Regions from separate parts of the Mus musculus genome. Here regions 1, 2 and 4 are each reported to be linked to region 3. Evidence: microRNA targets listed by miRTarBase, many of them from high-throughput screens and not tested one by one. Region 3 holds a microRNA gene; each other region holds the end of a gene's coding sequence.
What was found. Region 3 holds the annotated microRNA mmu-miR-3473c (UCUCUCCAGCCCCCAUAAUAAG, at 2,226-2,247, shown strand). A microRNA usually pairs through its seed, bases 2 to 8, with sites in the 3' UTR of a target mRNA and lowers its output. Matches are read on the target gene's strand: a 7mer-m8 pairs with bases 2 to 8, a 7mer-A1 pairs with bases 2 to 7 and ends in A, and an 8mer does both.

Region 1 (5,663 bases), not on the chromosome of region 3:
AGGGTTGACAGGAGGCCTGTTGTGAATGGAGGGGCCACATTTCCATCCCCAAGTCTGTCTCCATCAGGGGCGTGAGATGTTGCTAAGGGAATGTGACGCCTTTGACCCATCTGCTTTGTTGTGTACAAACCCAGGACTTCTCAGGTCCTCCAGGGCCGGACTCCCAGGGACCCAGCATCATTGAAGGCCTTCAAGGTCTCAGATAATGCAGTGTGTGTGTGTGTGTGTGTGTGTGTGTGTGTGGGTGGGTGGGTGGGTGGGTGTCAGGCATCCTCACAGTTTACACTGCGAAGGGGGTTCTTCCACCTCTCTGGAAGTTTGCTAAATTTTATCAGACTTGGAAAACAAAAATCTCAGACATGGCAATGCCTACTTACCTTCTGTGTGATTGCATTCACTGGCAGTGAATAGCCATCAAAATTTGTCTCCCATTGGGAGTAAAAGCAGAATATTGTTACTCTGGAATGTGGCAGTGAAGAACGACAAGACAACCTTCTGGGAAGTGTTTCCCTCTGGGCGGGCTACATGAGGATGCATGCAGATGAAAGGTTTTCAGTGCTGGGTACCAATGGAGCAGATGCTTAGCATGGGTGAGACCGGTCCTCTCCTCAGCACCACTCCCCAAAGTCAGACCCTTATTGCCCTTGCATCTGCGCACTGTATCCAGCTCACACATTATACTCAGCGCCCACCTCAAAGGCCCCACAAGAGTAGCTGGTTGCTCAGAGGCCTTAACTGGCATGCCCACAGCTACAGTGCTGGGAGCTGATTAAAGTGTTAGACTCCAGAGTCCCCTGTGTTCCTCACCACGCTGACTTCCCATGCTGTCTGTCTCACAGAGATTATTCATGCATGGTAACTACCATAGTGCCTGACGCACAGTACGCGGTCCCTAACAGTAGGCCAGGCACTACCATCTGTCATGGTGGGCTAGCAACTGCTGACCCTCAACTGAGAAGAATGAGTTGCTATCTACAGTATTGTTTAGATCCTCCAGACCCACCCCCTTCAGAGACGATCTGTCTCCCAAAGGCAGCCAGCAAGAGGACAGCACTCACCTGGCTGCCAAAAGCATCCTCCCCTCCTCTCGCTCACCTGTCTGGGAGGGGAGAGATTGGCCTGTTTGAGAACAGTAACCTTGGACTCCCACCTACATTCTGCCACCACCTTGCTAAGCCATAGAACCCTCTGGGCATAAGGTTTCCTCAGTCAAATGAGCCAAGAAGGACTCTTGTATGACACTTGGATTGTACCCGCCCGAGCCTATGCGAGTGACAAGAGTCAGGAATGCAGTTCCATGTGACAAGAGTCAGGAATGCAGTTCCATGTACATAATGTCTTGAGTAGCTGCCACTGAATTAGCAAGGTGAGTAAATGGTAGCTCTTGCTATTGGGAGTCAGGGCAAGGGCTACAGTGAGCAAGTGTATCAGCAAGGCATTTATTCAGCATTCCTATACACTAGGCCCTCTCCGTGCTGTCTCTGTCTGTGTAAGGTAGGTCCCATTTTATAGGGAGGTTGATGGAGGCTTAGAGAGTCGACACACTTGCCCACAGTGATGGAACAGACAGCCAGGGGTAGGAAATGTGACTGCAGAGTCCTTACTCCTATAGATGACTAAGTGTTAGTCACAATCCAGGCTCTGTGGTTTTGGTTTTGGTTTTGGTTTTGGTTTGTTTGAGCACTGCCCTTTAGTCCTGACCACAGCATGCCCATGGGGAATAGATAGGAAAAGCAAAGGAAGCCAGAAGACCCGCAGCCAGGGTGAAGCAGGCAGAGAACTGAGAGGAACAAGGGAGAAAAGCAAACTGATGGGGACCATAGCATCTCCACAGTAAAGGACTGTTTAAAAGGTTGTCAGAACAAAGCAAAAGACGTCACCTCCGCACATGCACACACATGTGTGCACACGACGCTGGAGTTAGGTGCGTTTGAGTCATTCCCAAGTAAGTTGTATAGCCTTGGATAGATCACTCTCTTTCTCTCTGAGCCACAATGCAGGTAAAAGGTAGCTAAAACTGCTGCTGTGTGTTTAAAGGCGAATGGGTAAAGTAACTAATTTCCCACCCTCTGGCATCCAGGAATCCTGACCTCTGTGAAGAGATGCTGGCGTGTCTGGTCCAACCCAAGCCAGAGAGCCATTAAGAAGGGGCCTTCACTCTGGATTCTCCGACAATACCAACATCCCAGCTGCGACGTACTGTCACTGAAGAGAGACTGGGAAGGGAAAGCATATATATATAGATATATAGAGATATAGATATATATACAGGAAACACCGCGTCCTTGCACCGCTGCTGGGGCTGGCGGAGCAGTCAGCTGATGGCCACGACCAACATCTGCAACAACCTTCATTTCCTTTGCAGACAAATCGAATTGGTGGGAATTTTTTTTCAGGAAAATGTATAACAATCATAATCTCTCACTCCCCAAACCCCTTCTCCTGCAAACTAAAAAAGCAGACCGCCATGATTGTAGACATTCCCTTGAACCCCAGCTGCACAGACTCCAGGATGGACGAGCACCCCGTTTGTTCTCCAGCCTCTGTTGCTCCCTCTAATGCAAAGGAAGAAAGAAATTAGATCACGGAGCCAAGGAAGAGAAGTCACAGCAGCAAGACACGCACGGTTGGCTATTTGCCAAGAAAGAATGGAAGTCTCCCCCATGGAGAGGAGGAGGAGGAGGAGGAGGAGGAGGAGGAGGAGGAGGAGGAGGAGGAGGAGGAGGAACGCTCAGTTGTTCCTTTCTGGGTCTTGACACTGGGCTGCAAAATCCCTTCTCTGTTCTTCTGCCTCCCCGCTTCACCCTTGACCTCTACTCATCCTGTCTTCATATTCTGTCTCAGCTCCCCTCTGCCTCTCTCCCAACCCTCCTGTTCTGTGTCCTGGTCCTGCTGAGGGCCACTGCAGGTAACTCTCATTGGAAGAAAAAGAAACTACAAGAGCAAACAGAAGCCATGGGAAGGGAAGTAGACACTGTGTGCTTCCGGTTTCTCATGACGGAGGTGCAGCTTGTAGGAGATTATATGACTGTGATTTTAAGTTATGTATATTACATGTAACAGGAAACAAATATTAAAATAAACTGTGCTGGTAAGTATGCAGCTGACATTTCCAAGTTATAATTACCTGACTGTGATTGATGTATCCTAAGGTTCCTAGATCTTGCCAAACTGGCCCAGCTGAGAACACTGGACTCTGGGTGTGGCCAGCTCCCAGTAGGGCTGACAGATTCAGTGTAGTGAAACTGTGTGTGGTGTTTGTAACTGGGTGATTGGTGGGGAGAGTGGAGAAGCCCTCCGTGAAGAGGTGAGGGTTCCGGCCAGAAGGGAGCAACACAGATGTCATCCCGAATATGCCAGGCCAAAATGCCTTCTTCCCCAGCAGTAGCTGCCAGGGCCTGGTCTGTGCTCAGGACACTACTGCTGAGGTTCTGTAGGTCAGTCCTCCTACCTCCAGGGGGCTCGCCTTGGTTTTCGGTCCTCTCTCTCTCTCTCTCTCTCTCTGTTTCCTATTACCAGGGTCTTTGTTTGGGTTTGTGCTCGGCCATGTCTTGCTCTGCTCCTCAGCACCTCATCACAATGAGTTCTTTAAAGGGAGGTGGGGTCCTAGCTAAGGTGGAGAACAGCGACTCTAACCTGGTTTTCTGAAATGCCCAGCCAGCCTTTCCCCTCTGCCTCTGTCTGTCTTGTGAATCATCCTCTTCTTCCTGAGCTAAAGTAGCCACGATAAAGAGGCCATGAGCACAGGGAAGGCCACAATAGGCCCATGCTGCATTTCCAAAAGCCTCAGCCATCCCTAAACTAGAGCAGGCTTGAGGAAGTGTTGCCATCCGGCTCCATCTGCATCAGACCCTGGCTTGCAGGACCTCCATCAGTCAGTATCTAAGCTCAGAAATGGCCTTGAGGTGACAGGAGCCCTTGGAGAAAACGCTGCCACAGGCTGCTATTTCGGCCTGGCACATACAGGCTTCCTCTGGCTTGCTCTCAATGTCTCTCCCTTTCTGAGTGAAAGTATCCCACGGCAGTCCCATCTCACTTCCTGTCCTGCTAAGGCACTTCATACATTTAGTCAACAGATGTTTACCAGTTTCCTGCTTGTGTCAGGCTCTGTTTTCAAGGCAGAAGGAGAGGGAGGGACCTGGGAAGCCACTGGACAAGCCTGTCTGTCCCTATCCATAGCTGGCTCTTTTCAGTACCCTTCTTCACGCCCTCCACCTGATGAGACAGTCCCGTGAAATGTCTCCGGGAGAGCCCCGGCTGGATGTGTTCTCTTGGCTTGCTTCTTGGTTACTCTTGTGATGTACACCTTCCCTACTCACAGGTGCTGGCCTGACACAGGGCAAGAAGCTAGGAGAGCTTCTGTCTCTGTGGCAGCTGAGACGAGCCAAGCTCTTAGATAACAGAGCCAGCCATATGCCCCCGGTGCAGGCTGGTAGGCCTGCCCTGCTCCAGTGGGGCAGCACATTGTCTCTGCTCCAGGATCTTTGGCCATTCTTGATGGAGAAGCCACAGAACCTCCCTCCTGCTCCTCACGGCATGCAAGCTCCCACTGCTTCTCTGAGCCCGGAGCAGGAACGGCTCTATCACCTTGGAATCAGGCTCGGGCCTCACCTACTTTTGCAGGAACTCCCCGGCCTGAACACACAAGACATACATACCTCAGAGGGAGCCTCATTGTACCTGCTCTGAATGTGGGCTACAGGGCAAGGACGAAATGACCCAGCTTAGCTCGTGGGACATTAGGGTTTGGGGAGATACTTACTCCATGGATGTTCTGACCGGTTCTTACTATTTTTTTTTCTCCCAGAGAGGCAGTCAGTACCCCGCCCAGGGAGGAGGAGACCTGCACAGCTAAAATCTAGGGCACCGTCTCCTCCCCCTCCTCCACTTCATAGAGAATAAGGACGTTGTGTTGTCTGACTTCAGCCTACTTTTTCCTTTTGCTTTTTTTGTGTGTCTGTCTCATCATCTCTGTGGCACCTCGCTCTCCAGGGGGCCAGGTAACAGTGAGAAAAGCCACCTAGAGCAGTCAGGGTTCCAGGTGAGCATCTCAATGCAGCTCCTAACTCACCGTGTGACACTGGGCTGTCCCATTTCACATAACTCAAAGGACAGGGCAAGCATTACACCCTGAGCCTCTTTCCCATTCTGTGTCTCATGCGCCTTTGTTTTCCCCACGTTTGCTTTCTGTGAATCTTTTCCACACGAGGGCAGAGGAAGTGCCAGGAGCTGTTTCAGTTTCTGAATCCTGCAAGCACATACCAAGACTGGCCTGAAATTGCATGAGCAACATCACTCTAGATATCTATTTTTTTTTCAAAAGCACCTTAGCAGCCACCTGCAATGCTGTCCTGTTCCTTTTCTCCCAGTCCCCTCTCTCCTCTCTCGTCCCCACGCTTCCCCACCTCAGTGCTCCGTGCTGTATGCGTGTGCTCTCTGTTCTTGTATAATCAATAAAAGTGAAATAAATGTGTTTGATGCTGAACCATGGACTCCCTCAGCCTCCCTCTCTCCCCCTCCCCTCTGCCTCTCCTCTCTGACCTTGGCTGCTGGTCCAAGCTGATAGAGAACTGGAGTGGAGATACCCAACATCCAACACTTTGGTTTTGCTTTTGAGATAAGGTCTCACTACATAGCCCTAGCTTGGAATTCAAAAGAGACCC
Region 2 (5,663 bases), not on the chromosome of region 3:
ATCTGGCGGGTTGGGGGAAGGGCTCCCAGGAATTTAATAGGCTTCCTCTCCCATCTCATTTAGCATGCTTGTCTCTCCTACCGGCCTGGAGAGCTCCACTTTCCCAAAAGTTCTTACCCTAACTGTAGTTGCCGGTGCCCTCTCACCACTATGACAGAAGATAGAGGCTAAGCTCTTGGGCAGTTTTATTAAAAAATAACCACTCAGAGTATTCAGGGTGACTCTGGGCGGCGCTGCACCGCGGGACTGAGACAGCTCCGGTTGTGCGCGTTCCAGCCCCGGGGTAGGTAAGGGAAAGGGTCAAGGCTTTCGTGACCCCATACGGGGCCGATCACTTGCCCACCGAATCGAATATGATGCGGTTCTGCTCTGCGCGCTCGCGCTGGCTCTGTGTCCGAGCTAGCTCCAGCAGGGTCCGCAGCAGGTGGAAGGTGAGGTCGATGGACAGTGGAGGGTCGTCCCGTCGCTGCCGCTCGCCCGCAGGCTCAGATCCTGCGCGGCGCGGGAAGCGCTCCGCTAACAGCAAGAGGAGCGCGCGGACGCCGCCGCCCTGATTCCGCACTCCAGGGCTCCATCGCAGATTCGGATCCTGGACCCCAGTTGCCGCCGCAGCCGCTGGGCTCCACTGGCTGCTCTCCGGGCGAAGCTGTGCCAAGAGCAGCAACGCCACCAGGAGCGTAGCGCGTCCCCTCTGTATCATGGTGCCGCCTGCCCTGGACACACAGGGGCAGCATAGGGTGAGGTGCACTTGGAGCAGCCGCAGGTAACACGAGCCCCTTGGCGCGCACGCCCAGTGCCCCTGCCGAGACCCTCCAGCTGTTGCCTGGTGTCCACATCCTGCCCACCAGCCCTAGGCGCTGTGCCAGTCCAGTTCCACCCCTCTCTCCCTCCTTCCCTCCCGGCAGGTCACAGTGGGTGGGCTGAGTGCAGAGTCTTGGTGGTAAGGGAGTCTGGATCGTTGCTTCAAGCCACTCACAGGTTATCGGAGTGTCTGCCCAGTGCAAGATGGAGCTCCACTCTGTCCCCGGGGACGGGCTGAAGACGCCTTGGGGAGCACGGGGTCTGTCCCGGGACCGCCGCCAGCCTTATATAGCACCAGGACAGCTCCGACTGACGTCAGCGAAGAACATGAACTGATTGTAGAAACAATGACACCGGCAGCTTTGAGTCCAGCAGCTTCGAGCCCCCAGAGGGGTGCGTATCCTGACTTTGTGTCCCTGGAGCTATCTTTGGAAGCACCCTGGCTGTAGAGGGAGAAGCTGGCAGAGCCATAAAGATAGATCTTCCGGATGCAGAGTCCTTCCCCGACACAGAACCACCAATGTCTCCAGAGCAGGAATAGTCAGGGGTTGTTTCTCTTCTCAAGTAGAGAGGGAGGACTGTGGAGCTGTCCGTGGTTCCGAACTTCTTCACAGCCACAATCTGGACAGAAGTTCTGGGGAGAAGCCTGGGCTGCTTAGACACGGTCCCTAGGCCGGCTACTGGGTCCTCAAATTGAGATCAGAAATGCTCTGCTGGCAGGGGCTCAGACAACACAGTCCCACCCAAAGGCTCTCCAATACAGTGGGTCTGACCCATTCTACTGACCATTGTACAGCAGTACAAACTAAAATCTACAGGTGTCAGAATGGCATAAAAGGGTGTTTGGCTTTCAGAACTTAACGTACCTCCTGAGTTTGGCAAAGTCAGCTTTTTCCTAGGAAACACAGAAACAGTACTATTATACCTTTTTACCTTCTAGGTCAGGAGCTGGGGTGGTGCTGGTGCACTCCTTTAATCATAGCACCCAGGAGACAGAGGCAGGCAGATCTCTGAGTTTGAGGCCAGACTGGTCTACTGAGCTGGTTCCAAGACTACACAAAGAAACCCAGTTTTGAACACACACACACACACACACACACACACACACACACACACACACACACACAAACACACACACGAAAACGAAGAAATCACTAGGTAGAAGTGAGAAAACTTTGGCCCAAGTTCCTCCTCTGCCACCAGCTTGTGTAGTCAGGTCCCTCACTTCTGAAACCATTGGCGTCTGTCTTTGTAAATGAACAGCCTCTGCTTCTTTCCAGTTACAGACAGGTCTGTGCTCTTCTGAAGGGTCTTATTCATAGCCACTGCAGATCCCAGATAATAATGTATCTATTTCTGTGCCTATAAAGTCCCTGACAGGGTCTCGAAAGGCACTAGGACCTAGAAAAGTTAAGCGTGATAGCCACTCTAGTCTAGGGATGTTGCTTAGTTGTTAGAGCACGTGACTAGCATCCACAATGCTGAGTTCAAGTCTCAACTCTAGACAGGAAGTTGTATCTATACAGAGTGGGGACGTGTGCTAGCTATTGGGACATAGGTGTAAAGTTGGCAAGGTCATATTATTCTACAAATATCTGTGAGGAATATACTATGTGGTGGGAATGTAGACAGTCATGCTGCATAGCAACCTTTTAGTCAGTGATGGCAACACACAATGGTGGCTTCAGATAATCATAGCGGAGCTGAAATATCCCTACCACATAGCAGCATTAGTTCTTATGTCTCAGTTTGGTGCATTATTCATGAATCTGCAATAATGCTGGTGGAAACAGACCAAGCTGGCAGTAATATGGAAGTATATCTTGTGCAATTATGTACAGCGTATACATCTTAATGACAGTGTTCTACATATGAAAAAGCTCTCTGTAAAACAGTATACCATGTCAGACTGGCAGCAGAAAAATACACCACATGCTTGTGCACGAAGAGGCCATGTTGAGCAACTGATTGTTACCATCTGCATAAGTATACTCCTTATGTGTGCACAGTGACAAAACTGCTAAAGACACAATTCTTGTTTGATTTTAAAAAAAGATTTATTTATTTAATGTATATGAGTACACTGTAGCTGTCTTCAGACACACCAGAAGAGGGCATCAGACCCCATTACAGATGGTTGTGAGCCACCATGTGATTGCTGGGACTTGAACTCAGGACCTCTGGAAGAGCAGTCAGTGCTCTTAATCACTGAGCGATATCTGTAGCCCAAGACACAATTCTCTAATCCAGCATTTGAGAAGCTGAGAAGCTGAGGCAGGATTGTCACTAGGTTGAGACTGACACAGACTTTCATTTTTTTTTTTTTGGTTTTGTTTTTTTGTTTTTTTTCCTGACACAGGGTTTCTCTGTATAGCCCTGGCTGTCCTGGAACTCACTCTGTAGACTAGGCTGACCTTGAACTCAGAAATCTGCCTGCCTCTGCCTCCCAAGTGCTGGGATTGAAGGCATGTACCACCATGCCTGGCTTCCAGGACACAATTCTATATTAATTAATTAATTATTAATTAATTAATTAAATATGAGTACACTGTAGCTGTCTTCAGACACTCCAGAAGAGGGCGTCAGATCTCTTTACAGATGGTTGTGAGCCACCATGTGGTTGCTGGGATTTGAACTCAGGAGCTTCTGAAGAGCAGTCAGTGCTCTTACAGGCTGAGCCATCTCTCCAGCCCCCAGGACACAATTCTTATAGTGTGTCCCCATCAGCTAAGGGCCAGAGTGACAGCAATATTATAAATGTCTTAGTGGTTAAAGTGAAATGTGCCACTTCAGAGTGGTCACCCTATTCTGATCAGCAACCCCATAGCATGGAAGCTGACACACTCCTTCCTTTTAAAGATTTCATTGTGTGCTTAATTACAAATGCGTGTCTATTCGTGGGTATATACATGTTTGTGCAGGTGCTTCAGAGGCCAGAAGAGAACATCAGATCTCCTGGAGCTTGAGACATAGGGAGTTGTGAGCCACCCGATGTGGGTGCTTGGAACCAAATTTAGGTCCTCTGTAGAGCAGATAATCCGTGCTTCTAACAGCTGAGTCACCGCTCCAGTCCTGATGTGGTTAGTTTGAAGAAGCTGTCCAAGCATTCCAGGGTCACGGTGCATCAGTACAAGGTGCAAACCATGGAACAAGGCACGCTTAGAACTGATGTGCCTTCCAGGATAGGTAGGAGTTCCAGACAATAGCAACACACTGGACAACAGCCAACCTAAGGGACAAGAATGCTACTGTGAAGAAGAGAAGGAGCAGGGTAGGGAGAGCAATGGAAAGGACTTACGCAGGAAGTTCCAGGTTTGGGCTGTGTTCCTCTGAGCCCCATGAGTAGGGACTGCAGCTTCAGACCAGGAGACAACCAGTTCAGTCCTGCTCTATCTCAGAGCTCCGCCTGTCAGATGAAGGCCTCACAGCTCACTCCTTTTCCTTATTAATTTTGTCTATGTGTGTATGTATGCACATGAAAGTCAGAGGACGACTCTGGGGAGCCGGATCTCTCCTTCTACCATGTGGGTTCCAAGGCATGGGCTCAGGGCATCAGGTCTGGCAGCAAGGGCTCTCACCCACTGAGTCATATCACCCATCCAGCAGCTCTCTTTCAATAAATGACTCGTCTACCTAGACCTTTCCAAATATATCTGTATACCTTATATCAGCCAAGATTTCACTTCTTTTTATTTTATTTTTTTTTTAAAGATTTATTTATTTATTTATTATATGTAAGTACACTGTAGCTGTCTTCAGACGCACCAGAAGAGGGCATCAGATCTTGTTATGGATGGTTGTGAGCCACCATGTGGTTGCTGGGATTTGAACTCCGGACCTTTGGAAGAGCAGTCGGGTGCTCTTACCCACTGAGCCATCTCACCAGCCCAAGATTTCACTTCTAAAAATAATGCCCTGCCTGCTGTCATCCATTCACATCTATCTATCTATCTATCTATCTATCTATCTATCTATCTATCTATCTATCTATCTATCTATCTATCTATCTATCTATCTATCTATCTGGAGGGAGAGAGAACACTTATAGTCACTAGATCACCAAAGACAGTCTTGAACTCTTGAACACCTGATCCTCCCACTTTTGACTCTTTGGTGTCAGGATAAAAAGTATGCACTCTCATATCTGGCCTTTCCAGAAGATCTAACCCTGGTTCCCAGCACCCATACCTGGCAGATCACAATGGTTTGTAACTCTAGTTCCAAGGAACCTGATGCTGTCTTTTTGTGTCTGTACCCCTGCTCACACATGTACACAGCCACACATGTTAAAAAACAAAAAACAAAACTATTTGTTTGTTTGATGTGAGATAAGCTCTCTCTATATAGCCTTGGCTAGCCTAGAAACATGCTCTGCAGATCAGGCTAGCCTCAAACTCATAGAAATCCAACTGGATATGCTACCCAGCAAAATTATATATATATATATATATATATATATATATATATATATACATATATATATATATATATATATTTTTTTTTTTTTTGGTTTTTCGAGACAGGGTTTCTCTGTATAGCCCTGGCTGTCCTGGAACTCACTTTGTAGACCAGGCTGGCCTCACAGCAATATTTTTTAACCTTTAAAAAAATAATGAAAACTTTAAATTTTGTATTTATGTTATTTTATCTAGAAATATATTTTGTCTTTAAAACTTTTTTTTTTTTTGAGTGGCTGGAGACATCAATAGCACTAATTGCTCTTGCAGAGGACCCGGGTTTGGTTCCTAGCACCTACATGGTGGCCCACAACTGTATGTAAATTCAATTCCAAGGATCTGATGCTCTCTTCCCACCTCCATGGGCACCAGGCATACATGGGGTGCACCTACATTTATGAAGGC
Region 3 (5,663 bases):
AGTAACACTGTCTCGTACATGAGTATATCTATACCCATGCTGGTAAATGCAACGTTTATACCATACTTCCATGGTATGTGTGTAAAATCATTAATTCCCTTTGGGAAGGGCATGCCTTAAACATCACTCGATGAATCCTGAATGTTAACTAACCACAAATGGACCCCTAACAAATAAAAGTTCTCTCATGACCAGATTTGTAGTGATTTAAAGACATATAACATGGGCAATGTGTTTGAAATGTGTATTGTTCCAGGAAATCTAGGCCATAGAAGCTTTATTCTTCTTCACCACAGCATATACATATATACATACATGTATGCACCTGTTCTACATGTGCTGGGCACGTATGTGCAGATGTGTGTGCACATATGTATATGTATGTGTTAGTATGTCTAGGAAAAAAAAAGGAACCTATCACACTATTAGTTCTGACATTTTCCTAAACAGAGAGCAATAGGGTGGAATTAAGACTATATGGGCAAGGCAGACAGATTAATATCCTCCATGTGAAAGATCCATAGAGTGTGTAGGCTCTGCCTGCTCCTGCCCAATCTTGACCTCCTTACAGAAAGGAAACTTTCTTCTGAGGGAAGCAAGGCTAAGGCAAGAGGGCCACAAAGTGCATGTGAATACATGGAGGGGAGACTTTAGACACATCGGGGAAAGCTCAGAAATTCACCAGAGGAGTCCAGCCTGGAAAGGAAGAAGAAGATGGCAGCTGCTGACTCTGCCATGTCCACTGAACCCCCTCTCTGGACACTGCCACTTCCATTTCATGAGTGGATCATTCTATGTGAAATGTTTGTGTTAAAATTCAGTCAACACGCTACAAATCCGATGTCTCGTTTCCAAGACATATTCTCTTTTTTGTACCGCAAGGCTCTCACCAGTCACACGGACAAGTCAGCTTGGCTGGAAGCGCAGGTGCGGCAGCTGCTACAAATAGTTAACCAGCAGCCAAGTCGACTTGATCTGAGGTCTTTGGTGGATGCGGTTGACAGCGTGAAACAGAGGATCACCCAGCTGGAAGCCAGTGACCAGAGATTAGGTACGTGTGTGTGTGTGTGTGTGTGTGTGTGTGTGTGTGTGTGTATGAAGCAGTCGGGTTCCCTCTCATGGCTTCCCTGTCTGTGTGCATTTGTGGTAGAAGCTAACAAGTCACAACCAGCTTTCTGGGTTGCCCAGTGGCTGAATCCTGTTTGTGAAGCAGCATGAGATTCTAGCTGCCTCAGAAAATGAGGGTCTCCACCATGTGTGTGGAGTCAGACGAGACTGAAATGGCCCAGGCAGTCCCAAGAGCTGGGAGTGGTAATCATTAAGAACAAGGGAGAGAGGTGATGGGTGTCTTAGGCTTTGGTGCACTGGGGCCAGTGAGATTGCTTAGCAGGTGATTTGCTATGCAATCGAGATGACCAGTGTATCAGTGGCTTCTCTGTTGCTGTGACAAAGCACCATGACCAAGGTAACTTGTAGGAGGAAGTGTTATTTGGGCTTATGATTGCAGAGAAATAAGAATTTACCACCATCTCATAGAGAAACAGCAGGCAGGCAGGCATGGCACTGGAGCAGCTGCTGAAACCCCAAGCCCAGTGACACACCTCCTCCAACAAGACCACACCTCCTCCAACTAGACCACACTTCCTCCAACAAGACCACACCTCCTCCAACAAGACCACACCTCCTCCAGCAAGACCACACCTCCTCCAACAAGACCACACCTCCAACAAGACCACACCTCCTCCAATAAGACCACACCTCCTAATCCTCCCCAAACAACCCACCAACTGGGGACCAAGTATTCCAATGCTTAGGACTTAGGACACACAACTCATTGAAACTATAACACCCAGAGTTTGATCTCTGGAACCCACACAGTGGAGAGAAAGAACCAACTATTGAAAGTTGTTCTATGACCTTCACATGTATACTATGGTGTACATGCCTTCACTTACACACACACACACACACACACACACACGCACGCACGCACGCACGCACGCACGCACGCACCACCAACAGTAACAACAATAACAATAATAATAAGACTTTATAAAGATATTTATTTATTTGTTTTATGTATGTGAGTACACTGTTGCTCTCTTCAGACACACCAGAAGAGGGAATCAGATCTGATTACAGATGGTTGTGAGCCACCATGTGGTTCCTGGGATTTGAACTCAGGGCCTCTAGAAGAGCAGTCAGTGCTCTTAACTGCTGAGCCATCTCTCCAGCCCCCATAATAAGTCTTTTAAATGTAAAATTCATTATAGGAGTTGGGGAGATGGCTCAGTAGATAACACACTTGCTGCACACATGACCTAGAATTTGGATCCTTGTAGCCATGTGATTGCTGAGTGGACTGGAGGGCTACCTGTGGTCCTAGCACTCTGGAGGCTGACACAGGATCTCCAGGACAAGCTAGCCAGAATATCAGGGTTTAATTCAGTGAGAGAACTACATCAAAAGACTGAAATACTACTGGGGAAGACACTCAGTATCAACCTCTGGCCTCTGTATGCCACAAGCACCTCACAGCCAAACACATGCAAGTATGCACAGACACTTACATCACAAGCACACTCGTGTGCATGCATGCACACACACACAAACACACACAGTTAGACGGGCACAAGGCTCAGCATGAGAATTCACTCGAGGTGAATGTCCAATGTGTCTTATACTCAGGCAAGCTGAGAGTGAAGAGGGAGGATACATCCATGTCTGCTTGGCGTCAGCTTACCACGATTGAGTTAATGTTAGCAATGCATGTAGTAGTTCACAGGTAGTGCTCAGATGACAGGCCCGAGCTGCAGCCTCCTGTCCTGTGTTTCCTTCCAGTTCTTTTAGAGGGGGAGACCAGCAAGCACGACGCACACATTAATATCCACAAAGCACAGCTGAATAAGAACGAAGAGCGGTTTAAGCAGCTGGAGGGCGCCTGCTACAGTGGCAAGCTCATCTGGAAGGTGACAGATTACAGGGTGAAGAAGAGGGAGGCCGTGGAGGGGCACACAGTGTCCGTCTTCAGCCAGCCTTTCTACACCAGCCGCTGCGGCTACCGGCTCTGTGCCAGGGCGTACCTGAACGGGGACGGGTCGGGGAAGGGAACGCACCTGTCCCTGTACTTTGTGGTGATGCGCGGTGAGTTTGACTCGCTGCTGCAGTGGCCGTTCAGGCAGAGGGTGACCCTGATGCTTTTGGACCAGAGCGGCAAGAAGAACCATATTGTGGAGACCTTCAAAGCTGACCCCAACAGCAGCAGCTTCAAAAGGCCAGATGGCGAGATGAACATTGCCTCTGGCTGTCCCCGCTTTGTGTCGCACTCTACTCTGGAGAACTCCAAGAACACCTACATTAAAGACGACACACTGTTCTTGAAAGTGGCCGTGGATTTAACTGACTTGGAGGATCTGTAGTGTTACCTGATAAGGAAACTTCTCAGCACAGGAAAAGGTGTGGCTGTCCCTTGGGCGCAGCCCTCTGGACTGAGCAGGCTCTTGTTCTTGTCTTCCTGCCTCCGATGTCTGATGTGTCATCTTTTTATCTTGGATCCTTCCCTGGTTTGAAACTTTAAACTCTTGAAATATTGCTGTTATTTATATTTTTGTATCTTCCAAAAAATTATAATAATTTGACAACAAGGCCTGGGGCTCCTCTCTCTCACTGAAGTCTGGGAAGTGTTTTCAGGGAGTCCAGTGCTCAACGGGACTGATACAGGGGCAGAATTCCCACTGACACTCGTTGTCATTTATCAGCTGACTCAGTGCTTCCACACCTGAGCCTAGGCCTGCAGCAGCCATCTTGTAAGAGACAGGCAGGCTGTGCCAGTCAAGTGTGGGCAGTGTAGCTACATATGCTGCATTTGGACCACAGATCTTCAGGGAGATGCCAACCGCTTGGAAATCGCATCGCCCTTTTGTGTTTTATACAGGATCCACTAGCTGCATGTAAGCACAGTTTGCCAAGTTGTATAACAGCTAGGAAATGGGTCGGCTCTTCGTCCTTCTCCACTAACACAATGGGTGCCAAGGAGTGGATGTTTAGTGAACCGAAAGTTCAGAGTTCATTAGGTTTGACCAGGTGAGAAGTATTTTCTTAGGTAAAATTGTCAACTATACCAGTTCACACAACTCAGCCAGGTGACCTTTGCATGGCAGTGGGTGTGAGGATGAGCAAATTTGTTATGACAGAGAAAAATATGAGAAAAGGACAAAAGGGGAACCTGTTCACCATGGATAGCAGCTGTCTGAACCCTTCTGTTCTTCTGGAAGAACTTTTAAATTCATATGCTGACCAAAAAATGAGCATTTGTAGAAACTTGCGGAGTTTCCTGTCAACATTTTGAGTGCTCTGAGAGCAGAAATGACCGGGTTCTTGTAGATCTGTCTTTGCAGTGGTTCTCAACCTGTGAGTTACGACCCCTTTGGGGGTCAAATGATCCTTTCTCGGGGGTTGCCTGAGACCATCAGAAATCACAGATATTTGCATTACCATTCATAACAGTAGCAGAATTACAGTTATGAAGTAGCAACAAAAATTATCTTATGGTTAGGGGTCACCACAACATGAGGGGCTGCGTTAAAGGGTCACAGCCTTGGGAAGGTTGAGACCCGCTGGTCTTTTGGGTCTGTCTGTCCCTTCAGCTCAGTAAGCCTCAGACTGATCTGCCCTCCTGCCCTGACTGAAAATGGGATCCGTGCCATCCTCCACTGCTCATGTAACATTGGCTCCTAAGCACGGAAGGACAAGTGTCCTGGGACAAGGGTCACGTTAGAGGCACAGGGGAGGCTATGCTCTTGTAGATGGCGCTTAACCTGTGTAAGAGACAGAACCTGGGCTGCAGAGATGGCTCAGTGGCTAAGGGTGCTTGCCGCTCTTCCAGAGAATCTGAATTCAGTTCACAGTGCCCATGTCAGGTGGCACTCCAGCTCCGACATCTGATGTCCTCTCTCTGGCCTCTGTGGGCATCTGCACACACCTTCACATAGATGCTCACAGATAGACAACCATAAATGAATCTTAAAAGTAAAACATGGGGCTCAAGAGATGATTCAGCAGTCAAGACTGCCGGCTGCTCTTTCAGAGGACACAATTTCAATTTCTAGCACTCACTCGGAAGGCTCACAACCACCTGTAACTCAAATTCCAAGGGATTCGGTGCCCTCTTCTGGCCTCTGTGGGTACTGCATCCATGTTTGCAGACATGCATGCAGGCAAAGCACCCAGCCACACAAAATAAAATACTGCTTTTAAGTAGAAACTGCTTACCTGACTAGCCTCTGTGAGTCCAACAATCCTCTTAATCTCTTCTGTGATCAGTGAAGATTCTAGAGCCACGCCACAGGACTTGTCCCAAAGGATGGAAGTTGAAAAAGCAGATGTAGCATAGAAATACACTGTACCTTTGCTGGTGAGCAGTGATGGCCATGTACTTAGAGTAATCTAGGAGTCCAGTCTCTAGCCCACAGGCCAGACTGGGGGGGGTTCTGTGGTTTGTTCACTATTTCATGTCTGTCTGTATGTATGTGTATATACATACATATATATACATATATATGTATATATACGTGTGTGTGTGTGTATAGTGTGTGTGTGTGTATAGTGTGTGTGTGTATAGTGTGTGTGTGTATGTGTGGTGTGTATGTGTGGCATCTCCCTTC
Region 4 (5,663 bases), not on the chromosome of region 3:
CCATTGGCGTCTGTAAGAGAATACTGTGGGTCTATTGTCACATAAGTGGTGAGATATATGTAGGGCTGGCCAAAATGTCATTATGAAACTCATAAGAGCTTCAAACTGACTGTAAGGTCCTTTTTCACTCTGTTCTGATTTCTCATTCTCTTGAGCTGTTTCTTACCTCACCTGCCCCTAATGTCTGGAAGACACTCAAATTCCTTAGGAAAAAAACAAGATTCAAAGCAGGTCTTGGTTTCAGGGCTGCCTTATGTTCATGAACAATAGGGCTGTAAGACTGGGGGCTGGCCACAGGGCGGCGCTGTGACTCCACAGGTGAACTAGACTATGTAGGTCCAAAAACTAGGGTCAACCAGAGACACCAAATGTCCTCCCCCAAGTTCCTGCAAAACACCTCTTCACCTGCCTTAGATTCTGGAGCAGAAACACCTATAGTTGTATGCACATACATGTACACTTAAATGAAATGTGAAAATCACTCTGCTAACAGTACTACTTTCGTAGGCAGATACCAAGCAAAGATTCCTCTTCCCTTCCATAATACACAACAGCAGCTCTACCAGTAAAGGCTGGTTGAGGTCTTAGGGCTTCACTTTTTCCTTACGTTGGGCTAAATGACCCCAGTGATTACATGCTTTGCATTCTTTCCCTGTGGCATTTCAGCAATCTTTTTTGTCTGACCCAACACCCATCCAGCAGCTAACTCTAACCCACTAACGCCCTCTTCTGACACTGGCCTACAACATGGAAATAGGCTTAGGGGTAAGGCTGCAGCTCAGTAGTAGAGCACTGGCCTAGCACGCACAAGGTCCTGGGTCCAATCCCCAGCACAAGAAAGAAAAGCCTCAGCAACAAGGACACAGTGGCTCACTACCGTGTTGGAATGTGAGCACTTGATGTCAAGGGGCCCAGTTTCCCACTCACTGCCATTGAAGAAATGCGACAGTTGGGATTTCCATAAAGCAAGCTTTAATGATCGCAAACAATATTCTATCTACATAATTCATAAAGTGCTTTCTCCTTCATATTTGTGTGTGTGTGTGTGTGTGTGCGCGCGCGCATGCGCATGTTCACAGTGTACTCCTGAGTGTTTATGTCTGTACACCTACGTGTGAAGGCAGAGGTGGACTTTGGGTTGATTCCTCCATCACTCTACGCCTAATTTTTTGAGACTGGGTGTCATCCAGCCCAACCCTCTAAATCAAACAGCCACCGTTGTCACTCCTGCTTGTAAAAGATCAGCACGCCTGGGCGTGTTGGCACGTAGGCAGGAAGCAGGGTCACAGGACCCTCACCTGAGAACTCAGCCCTTTGTGCCAAATTCCATGAGGCCTGGGAGTCCTGGGGAGGGAGCAGTCTACAGTCTACAGCCCAGGGAACACTAGACGAGAGCTCCACCTGAGCCGCAAACGGGGAGTCACCACCTAGGCTGGGTACAGACCTTCCAGGGTACCTGCCTTAAAGTTACCCATAATCTCTATGAAAGCTTAGTGAACTCGGTGGCCCCCCAGGGTGAACTCTGATAGAGCTGAGCTTTGCTTTGTTATTGGGGCGTCATGAGGAGACATACAGTGCTTAGCCCCACACCCTCAGGAAGAATGTTCTCTCAATACTAGGTCCCAACTGAAAATGGTGTCCACTGATGGGCTAGGCTAGCCCACTAGTGAGCCCCTGGGGTCCTCCTGTCTCTGCCTCCCAGCCATGGGATTATACGTGCACAGTCAAACCCAGATTTTTTTTTTTCAGTGTATGCTAGGGATCAGAACACAGGTCGTCATGGTGGCACAAGGACTGTACATGCTGAGCCATCTCCCCAGCCCCCTCCTTTTGCCTCGAGAGTCCAAGAAGGAACCTGCGACAGCTACAAGACATCTGAATCCCCATGGTTGTTACTCATAATTGCTTAACGGCCTCTTACAGAACCATCATTTTGCTCCCAGATCCCCTGGAATCCATCAGTGAGTAAAATCCTAAAAAGAAGTCCCTTTGACTGTGACCTTCTTGAATCACAAATAGGATGAACTTATAAGCAGCAGTGCCCTGTGGTACGTAGCACTCTGTGTCCGAGTTTACTCTCTTGCTGAATGATCCATCTAAAATGTACTCTAGGTAACGCAAAGGTGACATGGAGGCTCACAACCATCCTTAAAGAGATCTGATGCCCTCTTCTGGCAGGTATGAAGACAGTTACAATGTACTTACATATAATAAATAAATATATTGTAGCCGTCTTCAGACTCCAGAAGAGGGCATCAGATTCCATCACCATGTGGTTGCTGGGACCTGAACTCAGGACGGCTGGAAGAGCAGCCAGTGCTCTTAACCGCTGAGCCATCTCTCCAGCCCCTCAGTCGGTTTTCTTAAAGGACATGATATTGATGACATCTCTACAACAGCTCCTCTTTCCCAAGCTTAAAAATGCTATTAATAAAAAGAATGACACCACTTTCTTGGCTCCCGTGGTCACACTCTGTGCAGCTTTTATACCCCACAAGCCATCCCAGGTGCTTTCAGAGGAACAAGGAAAGGCAAGCAAGGGGCAGGGTACAGGCGCATTCAGACCCGGATTAACAATGCTGTTCAGTTTCCTCTATAGTTTATTGTCACAGCAGAAGTTGTGTGAGACAGGAGGTCACGCTCTACACGTCACAGTATGGTCAGAGCCTGAGGTAGCTCTTCCCACCCTGATGCCAAGCCCCAAGCAGTCGGACCTAAGCTCTTTCCCTTAGTCCCACTTTAGGTGCACGCTGACAGCTATCCAAGTTAGTGTGGCCAAAGGACCCGGGCCCCTCCCTTCTACCCCAGCTTCAATGTGTTTACCACTGTTCTTCACGGGCCACCATCTCCCATCCTTTCTTTTTACATGCTGGATATTTCTATCACATTAAGGATCACTGACCCACCAGCAAACCTTCTCCTGATAAACATTCATTTGGGACTATTGCCTTCAGAGAGGCCTGACACATCAAGGCAAAGCCACTGTCAGCTTTGGGGAAGGAGCTCCCCATCTCTCACCATCAACCCTACACACACACACACACACACACAACACACACACACTCTCTCTCCTACCCTTGCAAATATGGGCTAAAGAGGGGGAGTGATGGAGGCCCCGTGTCAGCTAGAACAGCTCATTGTTCCTCATCTATAGAACCTAGGTCAGGGAGAGAACATACAAGCCTTCTCAACACCAAAATGGAAGAGGGGGTAATTTAGGGGGCCCAGATCTCTAAGAGATATTAGGACACCTCACCTAGGAGCTAGAGGATATCACAGGTTAAAGGTCAAGGTTAGGGTAGCAATTAAAGATCAAGGTCATCTCCCTGCACAATCTGCCCATTTTCCTTGCTTACTCTGGCCCAGTGCCCTGATAACACCTCTTAAATTAGTGTTGCAGGAGGTGAGGGCTGGGATCCACACCAAGGCAATGAGGGTCATTCAACAGGAGACTTCCATGGTGTGCCCTGGGGGTCCAGAAGGGAGAGTCCCAGACTCGCTACTCTGCGACAGGGTGCGGGATCGGGACCGACTGCCATCGATGGATGCTGCACTGGTCAGAGATGCTGTGCGAGACCGAGATAGGCGAGTCATGCAGGAAGAGGCCACTGTAGACACACAATGATAAGCAAGCCATCAGAGATGAGTGGGGAAGACAGCTGGTAACTTCTAGTGGGGCCTAGGTGAAGACAAGAGCTGCGGCCAGAGAATCAGCGAGCTTGCCTTGTAAGATGATGAGTCCAAGAATTAGCCTAAAACAGGTCTACCCTCACAGTGGGAAGCCCTTCCTAATACCCTCTGTCCCAATACTCACTGTAGCCCATGCCTTGCAGGAAGTACTTGAAAGCCTCTGTCAGCTTGCCGGGCTGTGGGCATATTACAAGGAAAGAGAAGAGAGAGAAAGAGATGGTTAGATATCTTGAAAGTCACAGCAATGGCAAAGGGCACAACACGTCCCATTTCCTCGTCCCAAGATGGGCACTATACTCACCTGAGTCAGCTGTGGCTGACCTCCAGAGTCGGCCATCTGCTCAGGAAGGAAACACCCAGGGAAGAAGGATACATGGAGATATCAGACGATCCATGCCGCGGGAAAGGGGCTCTCTCCTCCCAGGTCCCTCACTCAGCCCCTTTGTTCTCCTCTCCCTTGACCCACAATGAACCCACAGGGCTTAGACACTGGAATTTAGAGTATGTATGCTCCTGGACTGGGGAGCGGGGAGCAAGTGAGGCTTAGGAGGCCCGCTAACCTTGAGGAACGAGGTCTGTGTGGGGTCCAGCTTTGAGTTACATTCCACCTGGAATAGGTAGGAGACTGAATGAATCAGGTCGCCCTCTCCACAGCCCTCCAAGGGACCCCGATCTTTTCCCTTTCGTCAGCCCCTACCCAATTACATCTTAACCCAAGTCAAATTCCTAAGGTCCTAGAGTTGCTCCTCCTGCCCCAGAGTTTTCGAGTTTGCAGCTTGGCAAGGTCCACAGCTTGGGTGAACCCAGTGTTGACAAGACCCCAACATTCCCTCACTACCCCAAAAGCCACCACTGACCACGGCATCTTCATGAGGTGCTTGGTCTCCAACCACCAGCATCACAGGGCACCTAGGGGCACGGGGTCAGGGAGAAGACAGTGAGCCTTGTACTCTCTCACCGACACTTCCCAGAAAAGCAGCTAAACAAGTGTCTGCCTCCGAGGAGGAGGAGGAACCAGTTGCCTTTCTCCTGCTGACTCAGCAGGAGGATCGAGAGGGAAGCCCCAAAGGAAGACAGCTTGTTACACAGAATGGAATCAGGGAGACTGGTAACTTCTCCACAAAGGTTAAGAGATGTTGGTACCAAGGGGCAGGGCAGAGACAGGACAAAGCCACATGCATCTACCAATGTCTTACTTGAGGGTCGTCTCACCACCTCGCTCAAAGTTCAGGTCTCGGCGGCTGCAGGGGGTTCAAAGAGAAGTTGTTTTTGACAGGCACTGCTGTCTACCTAGATAAGCTACCTCCTCCACAGGAAGCTATCTCCCTTATTTATAGTCAGCAGCTACTGGTGATTAAGAGAAAAATACCAAGGGCTGGGGTTACAACTTGGTGGTGGACTACCTGCTTAGTGAGCAGCTATGAGGTTTGATCTCCAAAGCGGTTAAAAAGGGAGGAGGGGACACCATAAAAATGGCAGGCACGGTCCAAGAGCACACCACCTGTAATCACTTGTGCCCTAGATCTCAGGTCAGAGGCAGCTAAGTGACAGGAAGGGCCCAAGAATGAGAGCTGCCCTTACTCCTGTCCTGAAGCTGAGGAGCTCGCCCTGCCTGCAGTGCACACTGCTTACAACCCTCTCTCTGCTTCCGGTTCTCCACATGCACACAACCCACTCACTTGTTGTAGCTATTCCAGTAGAGTTCAATGTTCTCCAGGTTGGGTGCGTGTTGGATGATACCTCTGTACTTTTGTATCAATTCAGAATTTCCAGAAAGCTCTTCCTAAAGCACAGAAGAGATGAATCAGGATTGGAAAGAGGAGCCGGCCATGAGGGGAACTATCTAACACTTCAGATCCTGTGCCAACTAAGGAAGTCACCCCGAAGCATTCAACTCCCCGCTGGTCACCTCTACTTCTCCTGCCTCTTACAACCATTTACCTGGCTGAAAAGATGTCCAAGAATCATGTCCG

Region 1: miRTarBase lists Epb41l1 as a target of mmu-miR-3473c. Seed matches in the 3' UTR shown: 7mer-m8 at 2,665-2,671.
Region 2: the mRNA of Mpv17 is a reported target of mmu-miR-3473c. Seed matches in the 3' UTR shown: 8mer at 3,483-3,490.
Region 4: miRTarBase lists Ndrg2 as a target of mmu-miR-3473c. Seed matches in the 3' UTR shown: 7mer-A1 at 3,066-3,072.

The regions. Positions count from the first base shown.
Region 1 is chr2:156,537,730-156,543,392 of GRCm38, forward strand. Epb41l1 (erythrocyte membrane protein band 4.1 like 1) reads left to right here. Exons shown (of 25, transcript NM_001368800.1): 25 at 2,081-5,483. The coding sequence ends at 2,089. Among named protein-coding and RNA genes, the nearest start is that of Aar2, 7.0 kb to the right of the region's middle.
Region 2 is chr5:31,137,821-31,143,483 of GRCm38, forward strand. It overlaps Mpv17 (MpV17 mitochondrial inner membrane protein), which reads right to left. Exons shown (of 8, transcript NM_008622.6): 8 at 2,843-4,030. The coding sequence ends at 3,961. It overlaps Ucn (urocortin), which reads right to left and starts at 1,075. Exons shown (of 2, transcript NM_021290.2): 1 at 977-1,075; 2 at 169-713. The coding sequence starts at 700. The coding sequence ends at 332.
Region 3 is chr1:191,995,186-192,000,848 of GRCm38, reverse strand. Mir3473c (microRNA 3473c) reads left to right here and starts at 2,215; the gene lies at 2,215-2,295. Traf5 (TNF receptor-associated factor 5) reads left to right here. Exons shown (of 14, transcript NM_011633.2): 13 at 881-1,051; 14 at 2,842-3,646. The coding sequence ends at 3,419.
Region 4 is chr14:51,902,699-51,908,361 of GRCm38, forward strand. Ndrg2 (N-myc downstream regulated gene 2) reads right to left here. Exons shown (of 15, transcript NM_001145959.1): 8 at 5,632-5,663; 9 at 5,370-5,473; 10 at 4,887-4,931; 11 at 4,548-4,599; 12 at 4,251-4,298; 13 at 3,992-4,027; 14 at 3,815-3,866; 15 at 2,573-3,608. The coding sequence ends at 3,442. Among named protein-coding and RNA genes, the nearest start is that of Ndrg2, 8.0 kb to the right of the region's middle.